Linked DNA regions of Elephas maximus indicus. The protein of the gene in region 1 purifies or fractionates together with the protein of each later gene. This does not show direct contact. Links are inferred from orthologs where the notes say so. Each region holds a gene or a part of one and is shown in the gene's direction. Other genes may lie near its edges.

Region 1 (6,903 bases):
TCCCTTGCTCCAGATGGGGAGGGACCAGTGCAGTTATCTTAGATGGCCACTCACAAGCTTTTAAGACCCCAAATGCTACTCGCTGAAGTAGGATGTAGAACATTTTCTTTATAAACTGCATTATGCCAATTGAGCTAGATGTCCCCTGAGACCACGGTCCCCAGCCCTCAGCCCAGTAATTCAGTCCCTCAGGGATAAAACTCCTGTTCTTGGGAAAACAATGTTAAGAAAATAACAGACTGAGCAAAAACATTTGCAATACATATATCCAGCAAAAGACTCATATACGGGTTATATAGATATATATTAGGAAATCCTGGTGGCATAGTGGTTAAGTGCTATGGCTGATAACCAAAGGGTCGGCATTTCGAATCCACCAGGTGCTCCTTGGAAACTCTATGGGGCAGTTCTACTCTGTCCTATAGGGTCGCTATGAGTTGGAATCGACTTGACGGTACTGGGGTGGGTTTGGGTTATAGATATATATTACAAATCGTTAATAAAAAGACTTGGGCAAAAGACTTGGACAGATACTTAAAAAAAAGTTGATGTCCACAAGGACCCATTATCTCTCCATCTTTCTTTTCTACCTTCCATCTCCATTTATGGCCATCATCCTTATGTTCACAAGATGGCTACTGTAACTCCAGGCATTAAAACTGTGTCGCAGGCAGAAATAGGAAGGAAAGAATGTGATGAATCTGTCTCTTTATGAGAAAAACCACATCTTTCCCACAAGCTCCACTTGACAGATTTTGTTTATATTTCTCTGACTACAACTCAGTCACATGGCCATACCTAGCTGCAAGGAAGCCTGGAAAATTGAGGTTTTTTTTTTTTTTTTTTTTTAGCTAGGTGGATTTCTTTAGCAAAGTAAATCAGGGTTCTGTTATAAAGCATATGGGGAAATGGACGTAAGTTAGGCAACTAGGAGTCTCCGTGCTCTATACGGGGGTAAATATGAAAACAGAAGGAAAAGCAAACACAATGTACTCAGCATAAAGAATGAGAAGTAGTATTGTGCAGGGAACAAAGCACTGCAGTGAGTCTCCTAGTCCTGGCTCTGCACCAGACTTGCTGGGGAACTGGTTTTCGGGTTCTTCCCCTGTAAGTTAGACATTGGAGTAGATAACCTACAAGCCTATAGAACCTATTATGGGAATTAGGTTTTATGATAAATTGCTTATGTTCAAGAGCTCATTTAGATATCATAACAAATATATGAGTAGGAACAATATGTGAATATTATTCCATTTTGCACTGGAGCTTGCTAAATCTCAGAGCATCTACATTGGTGCACAGATCTAGTAAGTGGCAGAGCCAGAATTCCAACTAAAGTCTGCAGGCCCCCAAAGTCAAAGGCTTCTTTCCACTGTTCATCTTTTCTCCAAAGGTGGAACAAGCTCATTCATTTTAATTTACTGAATTTTAAGGTTATACTTTCTAAACCACTTTCAAAATGTAGCATGGCAGCCACCTGCAGCAGAATTACCTGGGGTGCTTTTTGCAAATGCAAATTTATGGGCCCCCTCTAAGTCAACTGAAGCCAGACTCTGGGGGCTAGACCCCTGGGATCTTCATTTTTAAAAGCTTCCCAGGTAATCTGGAGACACTTTAAGGTCTCACAACCACCATTTTAAAGTTACAATTTATTGGTCTATTCCAATGTAGTTTATTTGTGGATCCGTGGCTCATGGAAATTTCCTCCAAATATCAGGAAAATAAAATTTAAAAATACTCTGTTCCTCCTTCCTCTTCCTCAGTTTTCTATTGAACGCAGTCAGTTCCATGGAAAATGTTAAGGAACTGGAGGTGTGTCATGGAAGATATCTTAACATGGATTGACTGAGGCTCTGTAAAGCAAAGGCACAGATTAATATGAACATAAATGTTGGATAGAATCATACAGAGCTGGAAGGGGGATATGCAAAGGAAATGGCATTAACTAAATATTTACTATGTTCCAGACACTGTTCCAGACACAGCGCATCATTTAGGGAATCCAAGACATATGATTCAATCCCTTTTTATTTACAAATGGGGTAGGCATTACAGCACGGTTATCTCTACTTTACAGAGGAGGAACCTAAAGTTCAGAGAACAGTCACTTTTCAAAGGCGAATCGTTCGTTCGTTTGTACAATAAATATCTCTTGAGAGCTCTTATTTTATGCAAGACATTGAGAATAAAGCATCGAAAAGACAGTCCAGAGACCTTGTGTGTCACGGGGCCCTGGTTTACCCAAGTTTCCATTGAGGACTGAGAGAGCAGACTGGGGCTGGAGCCTGCCAACAGCAGCATCTCTGCCTGCCAGCAGCCAGGAGGAGTAGAGCTTGTGGCTGGTGGTCCAGAGCTCCACCGGGAAGTTTCCACGGCTCAGTGAATACCATGCCTTTACCTTTCTGGGCGGTGGGGAGTAGGCAGGGGCCTGAAGGGAGTACTTTGAAATGGAACTTAAAAGGGGCTAAGGGAACCCCAAAATCTCATCATAGTCTTTCAGTAACCTTGGGAGGCAGATATTATTTCCGATTTATAGAAGAAGAAGCTGAGGCTCAGAAAGGCTAAGTGTTCTCATCAGGAGTGACTAGAGCAGGTCTCAGATTCTAGTCCAATGCCCCCAGCCCTCGCACTTGACAGCTCACTGAAAAAAAAAGTCTAAATAGGTGGGTAAAAGGCTCAGCCAATAGCGCTAAAGTAGTTTACTTGAGGTTGGGTATGAGTCTTTCAACCAACATTTATTTAATTCCAAGTTCAAATCACACAGAAAATAGAACTGTTTTCTCCTTAAAAGGTTCTGCGGAAGAATGTTCTCTGTTCTATGTAACAGCCTCCTTGGCTGTGTTTGTGTCTGAAGAAAGGATCAGTCTGACAGGAAGAATTATAAATCTGGAGCTCATTTCGGTGTCCCAGCGGGAAGGTGGGTGGAGCGCCTCACAGTAAATTAGGAATTCAGAATGAAAACGTAGTTGAGTTTATCTGGGTTTTCAGTGACACCTCAGAATTATTGTATGGGCGTGTCAGACAGCTCAAGGTAATGCCTGCTTCTCCTACGCCCCGTGGGAGCGGGTGCTGAGAAGGGGAATCCTCCTCCTTTGGTGGGGTGGGGGCTTCCCTTTCCAACCTGGATCAGGAAGGGAGAACGGGGAAGACGAATAGTTTGAAGGCCTGAGTCTTCTCTGAGTTCTGGAGGGAGGCTATTGGGGGGTGTGTCTGAGCTCAGGATCTGGGTCCGAGGCTGGGCTCTGAGACTAGGATTTGGGAATTTTCTGAGCCTGGAACTTGGGCTAGAGCAGGAGTAAACAGGAGACTGAGTCGTAAAGGAAGGGCACCGAGAAAGGGTTTTGAGGGGGCAGATGTTGAAAGTTGAAGCGCGGACCTGGGGACGGAGAGTTGAAGCCTGAGGACACTGCGGATCTGGGCAGAATGTGTTGGGGTTGGGGTGGAGGTCAGTGCCAGGTCGTTGGTGTCTAGAGGAAGCTAAAAGACAGTCGAGGGGCCACAGCCTTTTTCCGACGACTCACAGACAGACCCGTCTCTCAGCCTTCGCCCATCCGGGACAAGAGACGCCCTCGCACCGGGGCTGGCGAGACCCTGCCCCCACCCGGCCGCCTCCGAGCCCGGAGCAGCGCGGGCTGGGCTTGGGGTCTGGGCGCCCTGCGCAGGGGGAGTGCTGGGGGCGTGGTCGGCGGCCGTGCCCCGCAGCTCGGGATTGGCTGCCACTTGGGCCCGTGGGCGGGGCTCCCGGCTGGGTTTCGCTGGGCGGTTCGCAGACGGCGGAGAGGCGGGGCCGGCGGGAGCCTGGCAGCCAATGGACTCGCGGCTCCGGAGCAGTTACAAAGGGCTGAAGCGAGGCCGCGGCGGTGGCGGCGGCGGCGGCAGCGGCGGCGGCGGCAGGGGAGGTGGGGCGAGGCGAGGCTTGCTGAGGCGAGGCGGCGGCCGGGCCGGGCCGGGCCACAGGCGGCGGCGGCGGCGGGACCATGGAGGCAGCGGCTGCTGCTCCGCGTCCCGGGCTGCTCCTCCTCGTGCTAGCTGCGGCGGCGACGCTGGTCCCAGGGACGACGGGTGAGTGGCGGCGCGGCCGGGTTGGCGGGCGGCTGGCGGGCGCGCAGGCAGGGCCCGGCCTCTGGCTCGCTCCTTCTCTTTCTCAAACATGGCGCGGGCCGGGGGCGCAGGTGGCGGCGCCGGGGCCGGGACTTGGGCGCGTGTTGGGCTCCCTGGCCCGGCGCGGCCAGGCCCCCGCCACGGAACCGCAGGCGCGGTGGGGAGGCTGGACGGGGGCGTGTGTCCGAGCGCGGGTGGACGCCCGGCAGCCCGAGGCCGCCCCACTTGGCGCTCCCCCGGAGAGGTGGCGTCGGGCGGAGCCGTCCGAGGCCGGGGGCTGCGCTCTGGGGTGTGAGTGAGTGAGGGCCCAGGACTGAGGGTGCGAGGGTGGCCCGGGCGAGCAGAGCAGGGCCTTCCGCTGACCTCCGCCGAGGGAACTGTGAAGCCTTGTCCCTGGTATCCCCACCCCAAGCGAGTCGGTGCCTGAGGCCCCAGGGGTCCGGGGCGGGGTTGGGGTCCAAAGAAGCTTCCCAGGCAGAGTGTGAGCTCTGAGCCTTCAGGCTTCCCCGGGCGGTGAGAGGGGGCTACCTGTGGCTGAGACCCCCGGGTCATTAGGGTTGCCCCCAGCTTTGGCCCCGGCCCGGTCCTGCTCAGAGAGGCTGCTTCCACAGCCTGGGGTGCCTTTGGCGAGGGAGCTGCGAAGCTTTGTGTGGAAGGAGGCGGACGAAGATGTGCGGAATGTTTCTTCTTTCGTGCGTCTGGAAAGTGTTGAAGCGAATCCAGTAACCAGACGGCTACGGATTGTTTTCATAGTAAAAAATGGAACGTTTGCTCACTCTGCGGGGTTTGGAATGTTTGAATGAGAATTACTCTGTGAATTTATCAAAAGCTTTTATTTCCTCGAAGAAGAATGCTAGTGATCTTTCTTTTCCCCAGTGACAGTAGTTTGAATCAGTCATCTGCATAGCTGGTTTTCAAGGGAAAATGCTTGCTTGGTTTTCCAAAATACTCAATCAGGATGGGGTAGGTGGTTATCTACCCAAATGGAGTACAGGGTGAAAAACTTCGTGTTACAAACCAAATGACAATACTAGAAGCTAAAATATGGACCTAGTTTTAGCAACTGAAATATAGTAAAAGTACATTCCTATTTCTGAAATCGGACACCCTGTATAAAAAACAAAAGACTCAACCCAAGGCTGAGGGTGTCAATTATTAGTCTGAATAGCTACTGTGTTTTAAGAGCTTACTATGATGTAGGTGCATAAAGTACACTAAAGTACTTCAGCTAATCCTCACAACTAAATCTTCAAGGCTAGTGGCATTTGCCCCCGTTTTATAGATGAGAAAACTGAGGCGAGAGGTTAAGTACTCATTTACTAAGTGCTACAGTTAGGATTTGCATCTTTGCATCCAGGGCTCTGTTTCCAAAGCCTGTACACCTTATATATGCCAGACTGTCTTACCCGGCCCATTTTTCTTGTTCAGTCATCTGATAGTGATTGATCTTTATTATTCACTTTTAGATTTTGGCTTCAAAATTTGAATACCAGGTTGCCTTCTTTCTAACTGCCAGCACATTCCTGAGTCCCTTCACACTGAAACTACAAGAAAAAACAATGGATTTTTGATACTGGCCTCGGGGAGAGGAGATAATTGTGTGGACCTGTGGTAGAATCAGCATAGTTATACATCAAACAGAAATGACATTTCCACATCACTATTAACTTGAATAACGTAATTCACTCTTTTCCAGTTATTGTAGGACAGAATATTCATGTATTCAGGTAACAGTATTAGACTTAATTGGCTGTACAGAACATTGCTCAACCCAAGCCCTGAAGGAGTTTACAGAATACATTGGCATGCATACGATAGAAAGCTGATCCAGATGCTTATTACTCCAAGCCCAGACTACGTCAACTAGTCTGCCTGCCCTGATTGCTCATATTGATGTTTCAGTTCATCCTTTTTGTACATACGGAAGAAGCTAAGCTCAGAAGCTTTTTTTTCTTTATAATTGCCTTCCTTATTCAAGAACTTGTAGTTCTTTATCGGCTGGCTGTTAATTTTATATTTCTCTGCCTGGCTTCTGCTTTCTACAGCATAGATTTCTCTAGGGAAAATGGTTTCCTATCCCTAGTGCAGAGTTTCATACCACTATGTTTACATATATATCCCATTTGAGAATGCAGGTTCTTTTCTGCCATTTCATAACTTTTTTTTCTTTGAAAACATGCCTAAAACCCAACTCTTTTTTTTTATTAATGCCTCTTAAGTATGCCTCTTTGTATGCAGCCAGCTGCCCGTTATCCCTCGAATCTAGTTGCTTTCCATTGTTTCTCTCATCTGGTCTTTTCTACAGGCTGCTGCCAAACTAATCTTCCTCAGTGATCCCCAGGAAGGGTTTACAAGACTTCCTATTTGTATTCAGCCATTAGAGCATATACTTGAGACCCATGATTAGAACCATCTCTGAGTATCAGACCAGAGAATCTCACCCTTTCACTAGTGCAAACCCTCAGTTCCAGCGATTTCTCTTTTCCCCCTGACTCCTGACTGCTCAGTCTTTCCACTGCATAATTAATTTTGTCCCCTTTTGGGGGTGGAGCCCTGGTGGGCAGTGGTTAAAAGCTCAGCTGCTCACCAGAAAGGTTGGCAGTTCTGATTGGTTGGTACCCTAGCGATGCCAGTTGTTACATATTTTTACTGTCACCCATAGAGGCTTCAGTATTCAAAGAGGAAAATGATTAGTACAGACTGAAGTGATTGCGGAAGGCTTCCTGGACACTTTAGGACTTAAGCTGTTTTTGAAGGGTGGCTAGAATTCAGATGGGCAGAGACAGGGATTTGATGAGTGTT
Region 2 (7,790 bases), on another chromosome or scaffold:
TTTCATTTATATATTGAATATACCATGGACTGCCAAAAGAATGAACCAATCTGTCTTACAAGAAGTACAACCAGAATGCTCCTTAGAAGCAAGAATGGTGAGACTACATCTCACATACTCTGTACATGTTATCAGGAGGGATTAGTCCCTGGAGAAGGACAGCATGCTTGGTAAAGTAGACGGTCAGCAAAAAAGATGGAGACCGTCAAGGAGACGGACTGACAGAGTGGGGCTCGAGCATAATAACAATTGTGAGGATGGTACAGGACCGGGCAGTGTTTCGTTCTGTTGTATATAGGGTCATTATGAATCGGAACTGACTCAATGGCACCTAACAACAACAACAACAGACTTTCTACCATGCATATATAAGTTGTATATGTATAATGAAATAGGATCCTACTCTACATGCTGTTTTTAAAATTTTATTTAATTTGAAAATAGTATTTTTTCTTTCCATATCTGTACATATAGAGCTAACGCATTATTTTAGTAGCTGCATAGATTTTTATTGCATTTGTTCATTCAATAAATATTTATTAAGTGGTTATGAAGGTATACACAGGTTAATAATGATTCAGACAATAAATATGTAAAGAAAACAAATTACAAATTGTGATATATGCTATGAAGGAAATGAACAAAAATAATCAAAGTATCTGGAATAGTCAGAGAAGGCCTAAGAGGTGAATTTTAATGTAAAGCCTGAAAAATGATAAGGATCCAGGTACTCCAAAAGCAGGATAGGAAAGTATTCCAGGCAGAAGAAATAGTGTTGCAAAAGTCCAGAGGTGGTAAAGAGTTTGGCTTATTCTAGAAACTGAAAAGAAGCCTGTGTGACTGGACCTTAACATGCCAGGGAGAGGCAGGCAGGAGCTGAGTATTTTTTCAACTCTAAACAAATAATTTCTTTTATAACAATTAGTACAAAGCTGGTAACTATGAGGTGGAGGTTAAAGATGTCCCAAATGTCCAACTTTTCCAAGCTGCTATACCACTCCATCATCTCTAACATCAACTACTCCCTCTCCCCTCAGTACTCTCCCTCCCATCTTTGGGGTCCCTAATTCACTGCAATGCCTCACAGAACTCCCCAACCATATAAAGGAAATGGCTCATGAAGTTGTGGAGGCTGGCAAGTCCCAAATTGTGGGTCAGGCATAGGCTTCTCCTGACCCACGTGGCTGCAGGAGCTGATGAACCCAAATTGGCAGTTCAGACCACAGGCTGTTGGCTCACAAGGTTGCAAAAGGTGGTGAATCATGTTGTACAATAGGCCGCTGGCCCAAGTGGCTGGGGAGGCCTTCGAATCCCAGAATTGGTAGGTCATACAGCAGGCTTCTGGGGAGGTCAGCTGATCACAAACTAGACAGGGGATCCAGATGCAGGGAGAAAGAGAGCCTCACAAGGACACACACATAGGTCTCAGATGCAGTCCACACCCCAGGAAAGGGTGTAACTTTAGTAAGGGTGGGACTTGAGTCACAAGATTGTGACCCAAGACACACCTTCCACCAACTCTGCCTTATTAACATGTAGAGGTCAGGATCCACAACACATAAAATGGAGGACAACCACACAATACCAGGAACCATGGCCCAGACAAGTCAACACATAACCCTAACCGTCACAGGTTCCATACACCTTATTTGCATAGTCCCATTCAATAATTGTGTGTGAGTCACAAAGGCCAAGGCTAGAAGGGCCATATTAAGTAATTCATTGCACCGTAAATTCCAGGCACAAAATGTCACAGAGTTTTAAGCAGGAGAGTGATATGATCATGCTGGAGACTTTAAAACATGATTTTGGCTGATATATGAAAAACTGACTCAAAGCAGTCAAGAGAAGTACTAGTCTACATATAATCCTCTGTTGATTGAGGACTTGATTCTACTTTCTGCCTGTTATAAACAATAGAAACAATCTTTGCCTTTTTCTCAACAAAAGTGAAGGATGTGCCTGTTTCCTTTCACTCCTGTCTCCTGTAACATAATTTTTTCAAGACAGATTATTCCATCGATTTATCTGCTTCTATTTGATCATTAGTATACTGAGCATCATTTCAGCAGCCCTGGTGTGCAATGGGTAAGTGCTCAGCTGCTAACTGAAAGGTCGGGTATTTGGGGTATTTGAATCCACCAGTTGCTACTCGGGACAAAGACCTAGCAATCTGCTCCTATAAAGGTTACAGCCTTGGAAACTCTATGGGGCAGTCCTACTCTATTCTATAGAGTTGCTATGAGTTGGAATTGACCGGATGGCAATGGGGTAGGTTTGGTTTTGTTGTTGTTGTTTTGGAGCATCATTTCATATGTAGAAATAACATCCTGATTTCTCACTTGGACAACTGAGTGGGTAACGGGATCCTTAACTGAGACAGGAAATGCATCGGAAGAACATATCTGTATTGGCGGATGGATTCTGAATTAGCTTTGCCATCTTGAAATTAAGGTGTTTGTTGCACCTAAATAAAAATATCCAACAGGTTCAGAATTCAGAAAAAAATCTGAGCTAGGTAATGAAAGTCATTACAAAAATGGTATGAGAAACCAAGACCCTGGGTAAGATCATCCAGAGAGTATATACACTGAGAAGAAATTATTTCTTCTTTCATCCTTTTATCCATTCACCAAACTATCATTAAGTGTCACTAGAACTACAAATTGGAAATGACAGAATGCTTTCTAGTTCATAGCTTCCTGATTGCTAAATCCAATCACCTATTTATAATCAGAAATGTGCTTAACTTACTTATTTGCTTACAACTAAGGCTCTGGTGGCACCTTGGTTAAGAGTTATGCCTGCTAATCAAAAGGGCAGCAGTTCGAATCCACCAGGCACTCCTTGGGAACTCTATGGGGTTGTTCTCTGTCCTATAGGGTCACTATGAGTTGGAATTGACTTGAAGGCAATGGGTTTGGTTTTTTTTTTTTTTTTACTTACAGCATTTATTTGGTTTACTACTCCTTAATTGAACAGCTCTCCTCCTATGCCATCCAGGTCACCACTCCAGTCATTTTGCTTTTTCAAACCATTCCTTTTCTGTTTCTGAGGCTTAGAATTTGACATTCACAGGGTTCCGTCTTGGTTTTTTTTTTTTAACACAGTGCTCCTAGGTGAAAGAAAAAAAGAAAAACCAAGCCCGTTGCCTTCATTCCGACTCATGGCTCGCCCACGTTACAGGGAAGAACAGTTCCATAAGGTTTTCTTGGCTGTAATCTTGACAGAACCATACCACCAGGCCTTTCTACTGCGGTACTACTGAGTGAGTTTGAACTGCCTGCGTTTAGTAGTTCAGCATAAACCATTTGTACCACCCAGGGGCATGTGGTCACATGAGCTGGAATTGACTCAATGGCAACAGTTGCTTATTTTTTTAATCACAGGAAAGCAGATCACTAGGCTTTTCTTCCCTGGCACTGCTGCGTGGGTTCCACGCACCAACCCTTTGGTTAATAGTCAAACACAGATTTATCCCACCCAGAGACCTGTTCCTAGGTAAGTTCATCCAAACCCACTGCTCCAACCACCATATATAATTATCATTTTTAAGTCTCTAACTCCAAAATTCCACACTTAGGCTTCAAGTCAAAGTAATAAAGTTTTAACAGCTTAGTTTAATATTTTTTGGTAACACAACGTAAAGTACGCTGGTGACACAGTAGTTAGGCACCTGGCTGCTGAAATGGTGGTGGTTCAAACTCACTAGCTGCATGGCAGTCTGCTTCCATAAAGATTTATAGCCTTGGAAATCCTATGGGGCAGTTCTAGTCTGTCCTATTAGGTCACTATGAGTTGGAATCCATTGGACAGCAATGGGTTTTAACCCAACATAGACAATGCTATTCGAGTTTTAGCACAACGTAGACAATACCATTTGCCTTAGAGACAGATTGCATAGGTTTTGGATCAGAAATTCTTTTAATCTCTCTGAATTTATTTTCTCATGTCCTGTAAATGATGAAAAAATATTTAACTTGTCATGGCCATTGTAACGATAAAATTATAAATATAATGAATCTAACATAGTGCTCTGCACTCGATAAATGCTATTAATACAATCTAAAACGCGAGATGAACATGTCAAATTATGCCAAATTATAAATATCTACCTTATCTAAATGTGTTAACTTTGTTATACCAATATGTCATCTTCTTTTCGTGAGCACTCAGCCTCCAGAGCGTTACTTATGTTGAATACGCTGACCAGCTCTGTACTATTAACTTCTTCAGACTCTCTCTTGGTATCAGGGACTGGTTTAAATAATAGCCAACCGCTCCCTCCACGTTGAGGAAAACACGTTTTGCGAGGCTTCTTAAAGATACAGTTTAGTTTAGCTTCGGTTTAAAACGAAAAGTGGGCTTTGTCGTAAAAACTCGGTCCTATACTGCTCTGCCCGTCTGCAGGCCGCTAAAAGAAGATGGAGTGGAGCCATGACGCAACTCACAAACAGTGGGAACCATAGTTTTTATCTTTCCCGCTGGTTCCTAAAAGACCAACGGCACTCATTGGCCATCAGGCTTGTGTCACTTCCGCTCGCGCATTTTAATTATGTCAGCGCATCAACTCTCGCGGTAACATCCGTCTCCTGAGCCTCTTTAGCAAAGATCTCGCGAAATTTGTTTTACAGGTTCAAGACAGGCTCTCACCCGCCCGCCCCCCGCCCCTGCGCCTTCACCCTACCCCAGCCTGCCCTTCCTTTCTCTTTCCCCGTCACGAAATTCTCCCCTCCCCTCCCACGAACCTGCTGCCCCCCTCCTGTTTCCGATTTTAGACCGGAACCGGAAGTCAGGTGGGCGGGGCCCGGCGGCGGAAAACGCAGCGGAGCCGGAGCCGGGACACGGCTGTGGCCGCTGTTCCTGCCCCCGCCACGGATCGCCGGCTGGCCGGGCTGTGCGGCTCCAGACTGAAGGTCGGTCCGGAGGCGGGTGGGCGCGGGTCTGCCCCGGAGTGTCTGGGTGGCAGACTCTCCGGGCCCCTCGGGCGCGGCGAGGGATCATGTCTACAGCCTCTGCCGCCTCCTCCTCCTCCTCGTCTTCGGCCGGTGAGATGATCGAAGCCCCCTCCCAGGTCCTCAATTTTGAAGAGATCGACTACAAGGAGATCGAGGTGGAAGAGGTGAGCGAGGCCCGGCACAGAGCGCCGTCTCCGGCTCGCCCCCGCTTCTGCCGGATCCTGGCTCTGAAGGCGCCTCCCCGGCGGGGTCGAGCCGAGATTCCCCACAACCCCTCGGAGACTGGGTGTGGGGGGACTCTTCGCGCTCAGCTGCTCTGAGGTAGCTCTCTTTTTTCCTCACTTCGACACTCGAGTTTGGATTTGATACTCCGGTGTCTGGATTTGGGTCACTTCAAATAGGAGGATGAGCTGGTGAGAAAGTGTGGTCCACCAGTTCTCATTTCTGTAAGTAGTAAATTCAGCAAAGACCGTGGCCGTTTCAATTCTCTACATGTTGTGTTTTTAAAGGCCAAGGATTATACTATATTCGATTTACAGCTCAGTGCCTGGCACATAGTGGGCGCTCAATAAATGCTTATTAAAGTAGTAGATGAAGTCAAAGTGTTTCCGCAGGTACCGAATGATTCTGTTTCGCTGATATCATAGAGCAGTACTCGTAATATTAAATGTTCTGCCTTCAGTTGGGTAATTTAGATGAATTCGCCATTAGTAATGTACGCTGGTCTGTTATAATGAAAAGATGTTTTAAGTAGCATGTTCTGGAGAGAGAACTCATGATCTCGGCGACAGCTAGAATATATCACCAGATTAGAAATTGCTGTTAGAAGACCTGAATCCATTCTGTATTCTTCAATAATTTAAGATATTTTAGAGCGAGATATTTTAGTGTGCCTTTAGTACGTTACTTCTGTTCACATTCATAGAGGGGCGATTGGTAATAAGGACTGTGAAATTTAGGAAAGTAAAAGTGTGTGTATATATTTTAAAGACACTTTAGAATGTGTTTTTAAAAACTGGTTGAAAATGGGATGTATCAAATAGTTACCATTTATTTATCCTTTTAAAAATGTAGTGATTTTATTTTTATTTTATTTTTTTTTATACTATAAAGAACTCAGCATGTCCTGTGGACATGTTATGAAATCTCAGCGTTATCTCTACTGTAAAAATCTAAAATTACTTTTAGGTTACAGCAAGCTAAAATTAGTGAGATAATTAATGTTCACCAAATAAATATATCTTTTCCCTATTCATGTTTTGGAAGAATAATGAATTACTAAATCATACATTTTTATTACTTGAAACAACCTAGAGATCATTAAGAACAACCTTCATTTTTTTTTTTTTTTACAAGGTAGCACAATGGGAAAAACAGGATCTTTTGACTTAAGAGGAAAGTTCAGTATGTGAGATGTGCCACGTTAGCTATGTGGTTTAGGGCACATTTCCTAACTAACCCCTTTGAACTTTAGTTTTCTTAACTGTAAAACAAGGATAATAATTTCTATTTAATTTTATCTGTATAACAGTCTTATTAGGCAGTGTATGTGAAACACCCAACACGAGGCCTGACACGTATTACTAGGAAACTGAGTTCCAGAGAGGAATAGTGACCTGCCTTAAGGTCACAGGGCTAAAAGAAGATCTGTGTTTTGAAAAGAGAGGAGAATTTTGTGTGTGTGCTTTTTTTTTTTTTTTTTCCGATTGAGGCTATGATAAATTCCTTTTCCAGAAGTGGATAGTTGATCCAGCTTTCATGGCTAACATTCTTTTTTAAGAATAAAAATTCAGTGAGTCAGTATACAAGAATTGCAGTTTTTAAATAAGCATTTACGTCTACTCTGTCTACTCTGCGGTAAATTGGCTATGCTTGTAGACTACAAATTGTTATGTAATAATAACTTGTACTTTATGGTCTACCAGATTCTTTCAGAGGCTTATTTTCATTTGATTTCGACAGCAAACTTAGTTTTTGCACATTACTTTGTAAAGCTTTTTGTCTTCTTGCTTTATGGAAGAAAGGAAGTTACTGAGACATTTTTCATTTTGCTGCTCTTCCCCCAAAGCCATTTCACTTCTGATTAGGTGTTTATGTTTCCAAAACCTTTCCTTCAATTTAGATAGTGCTTCAGCCTTCCTTTGGTGTATTTAGGATATCCTGGGGCGTAGACTTTTGCTTTTTGATAAAAAGTTCTTTCTAACATTAGGCGGTCGTTTAGTTTTGATTTTTTAATACCCAGTTTGTTTTCATATGAAAGATTGAATTAGGACCTTTCTTATGTTGAGGCCATTACATAAGTTCCATCATATTCTTCATTTGCACACATTAAAAGTGTTTGATATAATCCAGGGTGCACCTTAGGTGCTCAATAACTATTTCTGAATTTAGATTCCATTTCTAGATTAAAATCATTATAATAGAGGATGATCAGAAACAAAAAGTATTTTATTCCCATTTAAAGAAAATCATATCCTGTATTTCTCAGATAACAGTGTAATTGAATCAGCATTATATGACCAGAACTAGAAAGTACATAAAAAATAACTCGAACCATAGACCAGGTATGCAGCCATTTAGTAGATGCATATTTCTAAGGCATCAGCTAATTTTAATCCTTAGATTCCTAATGTTGTGACTCAGAAATTTCAGTTCGGCATTTCTTAAATGCAGTTCTGTTGTCACATTATGTACATTCTCAGCCTTAGAAATCTACCTTTTTTTAGTGATTTAGTTTTTATCATTCTGGATCTGGGTGTAGAAAATGTTAGAATAAATTGTGAGGGATGTACATTGTGGACCAGGTTGCAAGAAGTAAAGGCCGTGTGGTGT
Region 3 (6,965 bases), on another chromosome or scaffold:
TAGGACGGGACCTGATAGTTTTCATTTCTAACCGTTCCCAGGTGCTGCTGCTGCTCTGGCGACCCCACTTTTGAAAACCATTGGTCTAGAATAGACTCGATCTCCGTCCAACCCTGTCCAAAGACTAGTACGATATTTAGCCAATAAACAATGATTCGGGGTCTTACGTGGGACTTCCTCTGGGTTGATTTCCCTGGTTACTGTTGCTTACATGTTATAGGTGAGTTACGACGAATTTGGAGAATTTTTATTTGTCTTATTTTCCCAAACATATTTCTCCAAGGTAGTAGTAGCACTAATAGGTTTTGGAGTGAAGATGAGCCTGCACATTTTACTCATAAGAACTACTGTTTATTGAGTCCCTCCTATATTAACTGCTACTTCTACATCCATGATTTAATTTAAACCCCACAATAACTTTGCATGAGAGGCATTAGCCCCATTTTGGAGATAAGCAAAATGAGGTTTGGAGAATTTAATTACCTTCCTCTATCACCAGCTGGGGAAACCCTGGTGGTGTAGTAGTTAAGAGCTATGGCTGCTAACCAAAAGATTGGCAGTTCGAATCCACCAGGGTGCTCCTTGGAAACCCTTTGGGGCAGTTCTACCCTGTCCCATAGGGTCGCTATGAGTCGGAATCGACTCCATGGCACTGGGTGTGGTTTTGGTTTGGTTATCACCAGCTGGTAATGTGGTGGAGACAAGGTAGAGTGTGGGGCTGTGTGAGTCCACAGCTACTCTCTTTTTAGCACAAATTATGGCCTTCAAAAGGAGCAGTGACCGCACATGAGGTGCGCTGGCGGGGGATCTAACCTGGGTCTCCGTCAGGGAAGGTGAAACTCTACCACTGAACTACCACACCACCTCCCCCCAACACACACAGAAGGATATCCCCAAAGTTAACTGCTTGATCACTTTCTTTGGAATAGGGGTTCTTAATCTAGGGAGTATGGGCCATTATAGGATCCACGAATAGGTTTTTGGGGATAATGAACCCACTGAAGTTGGTAAAATTTGGTGTGTATGTGCACATATGGATTTTTCTGGGGAAAGGGTCCAGAGTTTCCATTAGATTCTCAAAGAGGTTTGGGACTCAAAACAGGTTAGAACTACTCAGTCAGAACAAAGAGAGATGCCCAATAACAGTGACACAAGGAAGTGGTACATACGGTGGAAATAGAATCAGTTGGCAAGCCTCCATAGAAGGCAGGGGCAAAACTGCTCTTTGTAAAGCCATTGCAAAGAGGACATTTGGAGGGACTCATTGAGTTTTTTTCAGCAGAACTGCTTGACATTTCATATCTATCTGGCCCAGAGATCTCTGGAAGGTAGTACTTCTGATGAAGGTTGATACATGGTGGAAGGACATCCAGGTAGTTCAATATGTGGGCTGGCCCAGCCGCAGAACGAAACAGCAGCTGATGATTTTTAAGTGGGCAAATAGCTTTTATCATTTTTATCAACTTTCAGTGGAGTAAAGTACGTGGGGAGAAGATATGGCAGCTATGCAGTCACACTGGCCTGGAAACACACTGGAAAATGCATTCACGGACACACCTCTGCACAAGTTGTTCAATCTGTCTGCATTTCCCTTCCTGCCTCTTTGCCCAGCAAACCTGAACCCTGCATTTAAGCTCCAGATCAAGGCCTGCTGTGACTCTTCTGAGACCTCCCCAGCCCTCTCCTCCTAGGCAGAATTGTCCTGCAACCCCTGGTCTAGCCCTCTGTACCCATCTCTGTCCCTCTACCATTGTTTCCCTGTCAACTGAGGCTCTGAAAAGCTAAAGTAGTAACCAGTGCTAGTTGCCGTCAAGTCGATTTTGACTCATGGTGACCCCATGTGTGTCAGAGTAGAACTGTGCGTCACAGGGATTTATTTTTTTGGAAGTAGATTGCCGAGACTTTCTTTCAAGGTACCTCTGGGTGGACTCAAACCAGCAGCCTTTCAGTTAAGCAGCCAAACAATGTTTGCACCATCCAGGGACTCCAAAATGCTAAAGCCATGACTTATTTTGTGTCCCTTGTCCCTAGCCACATAGTAGGTGGCCGATGTTGGCTGAGCAAACGCTAAATGTAGAAAGCATTAGCTACCATTCAGGTCCCCTCTGTACAGGCTGTGGTGAGATGACTATTTTGTGCATCTACTTAGATGACAACAGCAATTATGTGTTAATGAGTAAACAAGATGCCTCTTGGTAATCTCCAAAAGCAACCTCTTGACTCAAGGGTTGAAGAAATAAGCAAAGGAAGGCCCAGGCATCAAGGCAGGTGAGAACACAACGAGGTTAAGAAATGCCAGGTTTCTAGGGTGGAACAGCTGAGGCTTGGGACAGGGGCCAGTGCTCAGGTAAGCAGAGAGAGATGTTTGGTTTGGTTTGGGGAGAAGAGACTTCTTGAATTTGGGAATAAAGAGGAGAGAAGGGGGAATACTGACTGGACTGAAAGAAGAATGGCCATCACTTGGGGTGTCAGACAACACACTGAATGGATTTATTCAGGCCAAGGGACTCTCAGTCACAATTGCATAAAAAGAGAAACAGCTGGGTTCTGGGTCTACTCCTCTGTTGGTTAAACATAGCTTGTATTCTTGGATATTACACTAGAATCATTGCAAGTCTGAGCTGCAAGGGACCACAGAAATGATCTGAGCCCATCCTTTCATTTGATGCTTGAAGAAACTGAGGCCCCAAGAGGCAAAGCCTTGGGTCCAGCCTATGACAGACTGCTTTCACTGGGCTCAGCCAGAGGCAGGACGGCAGGGAACGTCCAGAGACTCTAGGCAGAGGGCTTTGTTCTGAAGACTGTGAGCTCAGGAAAGGCCCAAGGCCACAGGGAATGTGAGCAGTTGCCCAGACCCTGTCTGGCTTTTTAGAAAGAGTTGCCACTGAATGATTCATTGTGACCTCATATATGTCAAAGTAGAACTATGCTCCAAAGGGTTTTCAATGGCTAATTTTTCTGACATTGATTGCCAGGCCTTTCTTCCAAGGTGCCCGGTGGTCTGGAACCTTCATACGTTAGCAGCTGAGCCCATCACCCAGAGACACCATTTTTAGGACACAAACCAAATAAAGGCATTTAAAAGAATGAGGTATTTGGTCAATAACAAGTTTGATAAACCCACCTTTTCCTCTCGATTAACACGTTATTTCCTCTCCATATCGTATTAACAATAAGAGCCATTTGTTTGCTGGGAACGTCTAATGAGCCTTTAGCGAGCAGAAGGCGGGAAAACACGGCAGTAACTGCTAAACTGTATGCAGATTAGATATTAACCTCTTAACTTTATCCCTCTCTCAACTGTTGTTTACTTTGCCCACACAGGGCACTTCCTGCCATTCTGGCAACTTCCATACGGGGAAATCAGAGCGCAGGAGTTGCGGAGAACACACACCTAACGGACTTTGTCTCTGACAAGTCCCTCCCTTGAAACTGCATTATCGAAACACAAAATACGCTACTGAATGTCTGCTGGTGCAAGGTACTTAGTCTAGGAACAGGGCACCGACACAAAGGTTTCGTGTCGCCCGTCCTTCAACAGCTTATGAGGAGTCCCGGGCCTGGAGTCAGAGACCTGGGAAATCGGTTCCTTTCTCGGAACCTCACGTCCGCATTTGCACGTCGGCTCCCTGGGAACCGTCGCGGACACTGGAGGCGCCGGGGCGCGGGCAGCGCCGTCAGCCGCCTGTGGCGGACCCCGCGCGGTCCCCTCGCAGCCTCGCCGCCGAGGAAGGGGCGCGCCGGGTGCACCCCACGCCCAACGCCGCATCCCCTCCTGCAGGGCGCGGGCGAAGCCCCCAGGCCGGGCGCCAGGAGGCCGAGCTGCTGACGTAGGCGCGCGCCCCGCCCCGCCCCGGCGTGCCCCGCCCCGGCGTGCCCCGCGGGCGCGCGCACGCAAACGAGCGCGGGGGCGCACGGCCCGGGCGCGCGCAGGGCCGGGCCGGCACAGCGGCGAGAGCGCGCGCGGCTCCGGGAGGCGGCGGCGGCGGCGGAAGCGGCGAGGGCGGCGGGCGTCCGGCTCTGAGGTGGTGGCGGCAGTGGCGGCGGCGGCTCTGGACTGGGCTCGGCTAGGTGCGAGCGAGGGCCGGGGGGCGCTGGGGCGAGTGCCGATCCCCCGGCTCGACCATCCGCCTGCCGCCCGGACGCCTGGGCCGCGGAGTTTGTGTCCCGGCTCGGACCCCGGCGCCCAGCCCGGAGCCGTAACCTTGAGGCGGCGGCGGCGGGGCCGGACCGGTCCGGGCCGGGGGGCGGCGGCGCTGGATCCGCGGCCACCCGATCGCTGGCGGGAGATGTCGAATCCCGGGACGCGCAGGAATGGCTCCAGCATCAAGATCCGTCTGACAGGTACGGCCGGCGGGGGGCCCCCGCCGCCCCCAGCTCCCACTCAGACCCCGCGCCGCCCCTCACCAGCCCCGGCATTTCCCCCGTATCGCCCTTGGGATGTGTCCCTCCCCCAACCGGCCGTTGTCCCAGGACCTCCTCACCCCCCTCGGTGTGTGCCCCTTGTTGCTCCCGGCCCCGCCCCCTCGCTTCTGCCCAGGCCCCGCCCCCTCGCTTCTCTCCAGGCCCCGCCCCCTTGCCTTTCGCCCCCATCTTCCTACTTTCTTCCCTCCTCCCTCACACCTGCCTTCTTCCTTCTCCCTCCTGGCCCCACCCCCACGCTTCTCACCCCCACCTTCCAACTCTCTTCTCCCTCACACCTGCCTCCTTCCTTCTTCCTGGCCCCGCCCCTCGCCACCCTAACCCCGCCCCCTTACTTCCTTGCCTCTTAGCTCTCCCACTAAGGTCCCCTCACTTCCATCCTGGCCCCGCCCCTGCCTCTCCCTAACCACGCCCCCTTCTTCGCCTCCTAGCTCTTCTCCCACTATCGTCCCCTCGCTTCCATCCTGGCCCCGCCCTCGCCTCCCTAGCCCCGCCCCTTGCCTCTCCTTAACCCCGCCCCTTCCTTGCCTCCTAGCTCCTCTCCCACTGTCCTCCCCCACTTCCATCCTGGCCACGCCCCCTCGCTTCTCTCCTCTTGGCCCCGACCCCAGGCATCTCACCATTTCCCCCCAACTTTCCCCTCCTCTCCCCCCACCTGCCTCCTCTCATCTTTCTTCCTCACCCTCCTCACCCTCCCCTGGTTGCCCTCCCTCTTCCCCCACCTGTGCCTTCGCCTCTCCCCTACTGGCCCCGCCCCTTTTCTTGGCCACGCCCCTCGTTTTTCTCTAGCTCCTTCCTGGCTTATCTCCCATTCCTGCCCCCTTGCTGCTTTCTCCGGGGCCCCAACCCTTTCCTTGAGCTCGAGCTCCTGTTCTCCCGTCTAGCTTCTCCCAGTCCTCTTGCCTCACTTCTCCTTTGGTCCAGACCCCTTCAGTCTAGCCCACTTCCTTTTCCTCTCAGGCCAGACCACTCTCTGCCCTTGACGCTGCTGTTGCAGTTCGCGGCGTCTCTGTATTGCACTTGACCATCATCCTGCCACTCAACACTCTTGAGCCCCTCTTAGACACCCCCACCCCCGCACTGGAGGCTTTGGCAGCTGCAGAAACCAGGCTTCTTGATTCACTCTCAGTCTTCAGTGAAGAGTCCCTGTTTCCTTGGTGGCTCAGTGGTGCCACTTCAGGGGGGAGCGTGCCGCTCTGCTGTAGTTGGGATGTGTGCGAATGTGAACCTCCCTAGTGCGCTCCAGGGGTTCTGGACCAGTCTGCATCCTCGCCTGCCCTTTCTCCCTCCTCTTAGCTTGTTCCGGGTTCACCCTCTGCCCTTCCAGCTTAAATTCACGCCTAAGGCAGTTTCCTCCTGTTGCAAATGCGGTGTTGCTGGGGGACTTTCCAAACTCGAATATTTCCAGCTCTGGAAAGGAAAGAAAAAGTTTCATCTAATCCCTGTTACGGATTTTCCTCTCGATTTTTCCTTGTGCAGTTTCTGGCCTAGTGCGGATTCCGAAGCCAGTGTCTGCTCAGTTCCTTTCAAAGGAGAGAATGAGCGTTTTGAACACTTTATGGCAGAAACAGGAGCCCTGGTGGCACAGTGGTTAAGGGCTTGGCTGCTAATGGAAAGGTTGGGGGTTCCAAACCACCAGCTGCTCTACTTTATAAAAATGTGGCAGTCTGCTTCTCTAAAGATTGCAGCCTTGGAAACCCTATGGGGCAGTTCTGCTCTGGCCTGTAGGGTCACTATGAGTCGGAATCCACTGGACAGCAATGGGTTTTTTTTTTTTTTAGTTGCTCTGTGAGTGCCTTAACCAAAAAATAAAAATAAAAACACCAAAACCCACTGTAGTCAATTCGATTCTGACTCAACAGTTGGTGATTTTTTTTTTAAAACTAAAGATTCCCTCGAAACCCCATAGTTGTTGCATGATCCATTTTTTTGTGTCAAGGAAAGGGTTGTAATTATTTGTCCTTTTACAAGGATGTCAGATCAGGAATGACTTGGGCCCAAACCCAGACAGACCATGGTTTTGTAAGGTCACAGGTATATCCCATGGGTCTTTGCTTCTGGAGAGACGTTATCCTTTATACCAGGGCCCGGATATGAAAGACTTCTATGTGCATATATACATTAAACTATTTTTATGGCTACATAAAAGCCATGTTTTTGACATTGTAATACTTGTAAAACTTTAATTATTGACTGCTTTAATTTGGTTTGAATTTACAATATAATCTATAATTGATATTAGATCATTTTCTGTTTTCTTGCTAAAAGAGAAGTAACTGATTTTGTGAGTTTTGTAGAAATGCAACTCACGTTTTATAAGGAATAAGGTTTTAGTTACAAATGTATGTGTTAGATTCTAGGATATATATATCCTGGTTGGCAGGTCTGGGCCTAGTCCTTTTCCTTGTGAAAGAGAGGAAGATTGTTTTTGGATTCAGCAATCAAGATGTCATAGATACAGAAACGTTTCTGAGTTTTTGGATGACGTTGGATATTAAGGGATCAGGGATGATGAGTATTCTTTCTAAAGGACCTTTTCCCTT

Evidence for each region. The genes of interacting proteins can lie anywhere in the genome.
Region 2: the proteins of TGFBR1 (region 1) and MAP3K7 purify together in Homo sapiens (affinity purification with western blotting; 3 studies listed by BioGRID). This does not show direct contact. The link is inferred for Elephas maximus indicus from reciprocal best matches to the Homo sapiens genes TGFBR1 and MAP3K7.
Region 3: the proteins of TGFBR1 (region 1) and SMURF1 purify together in Homo sapiens (affinity purification with western blotting; 3 studies listed by BioGRID). This does not show direct contact. The link is inferred for Elephas maximus indicus from reciprocal best matches to the Homo sapiens genes TGFBR1 and SMURF1.

What each region holds. Positions count from the first base shown.
Region 1 is NC_064827.1:48,995,737-49,002,639, forward strand, and holds the start of TGFBR1 (TGF-beta receptor type-1), read left to right. Parts: upstream 1-3,889; 5' UTR 3,890-3,977; coding exon 3,978-4,062; intron 4,063-6,903. UniProt on the Homo sapiens protein: Transmembrane serine/threonine kinase forming with the TGF-beta type II serine/threonine kinase receptor, TGFBR2, the non-promiscuous receptor for the TGF-beta cytokines TGFB1, TGFB2 and TGFB3.
Region 2 is NC_064819.1:154,410,003-154,417,792, reverse strand, and holds the start of MAP3K7 (mitogen-activated protein kinase kinase kinase 7), read left to right. Parts: upstream 1-4,785; 5' UTR 4,786-5,002; coding exon 5,003-5,122; exon of another isoform or gene 5,123-5,404; intron 5,405-7,790. UniProt on the Homo sapiens protein: Serine/threonine kinase which acts as an essential component of the MAP kinase signal transduction pathway. Plays an important role in the cascades of cellular responses evoked by changes in the environment.
Region 3 is NC_064830.1:102,570,378-102,577,342, reverse strand, and holds the start of SMURF1 (E3 ubiquitin-protein ligase SMURF1), read left to right. Parts: upstream 1-3,960; 5' UTR 3,961-4,289; coding exon 4,290-4,344; intron 4,345-6,965. UniProt on the Homo sapiens protein: E3 ubiquitin-protein ligase that acts as a negative regulator of BMP signaling pathway. Mediates ubiquitination and degradation of SMAD1 and SMAD5, 2 receptor-regulated SMADs specific for the BMP pathway.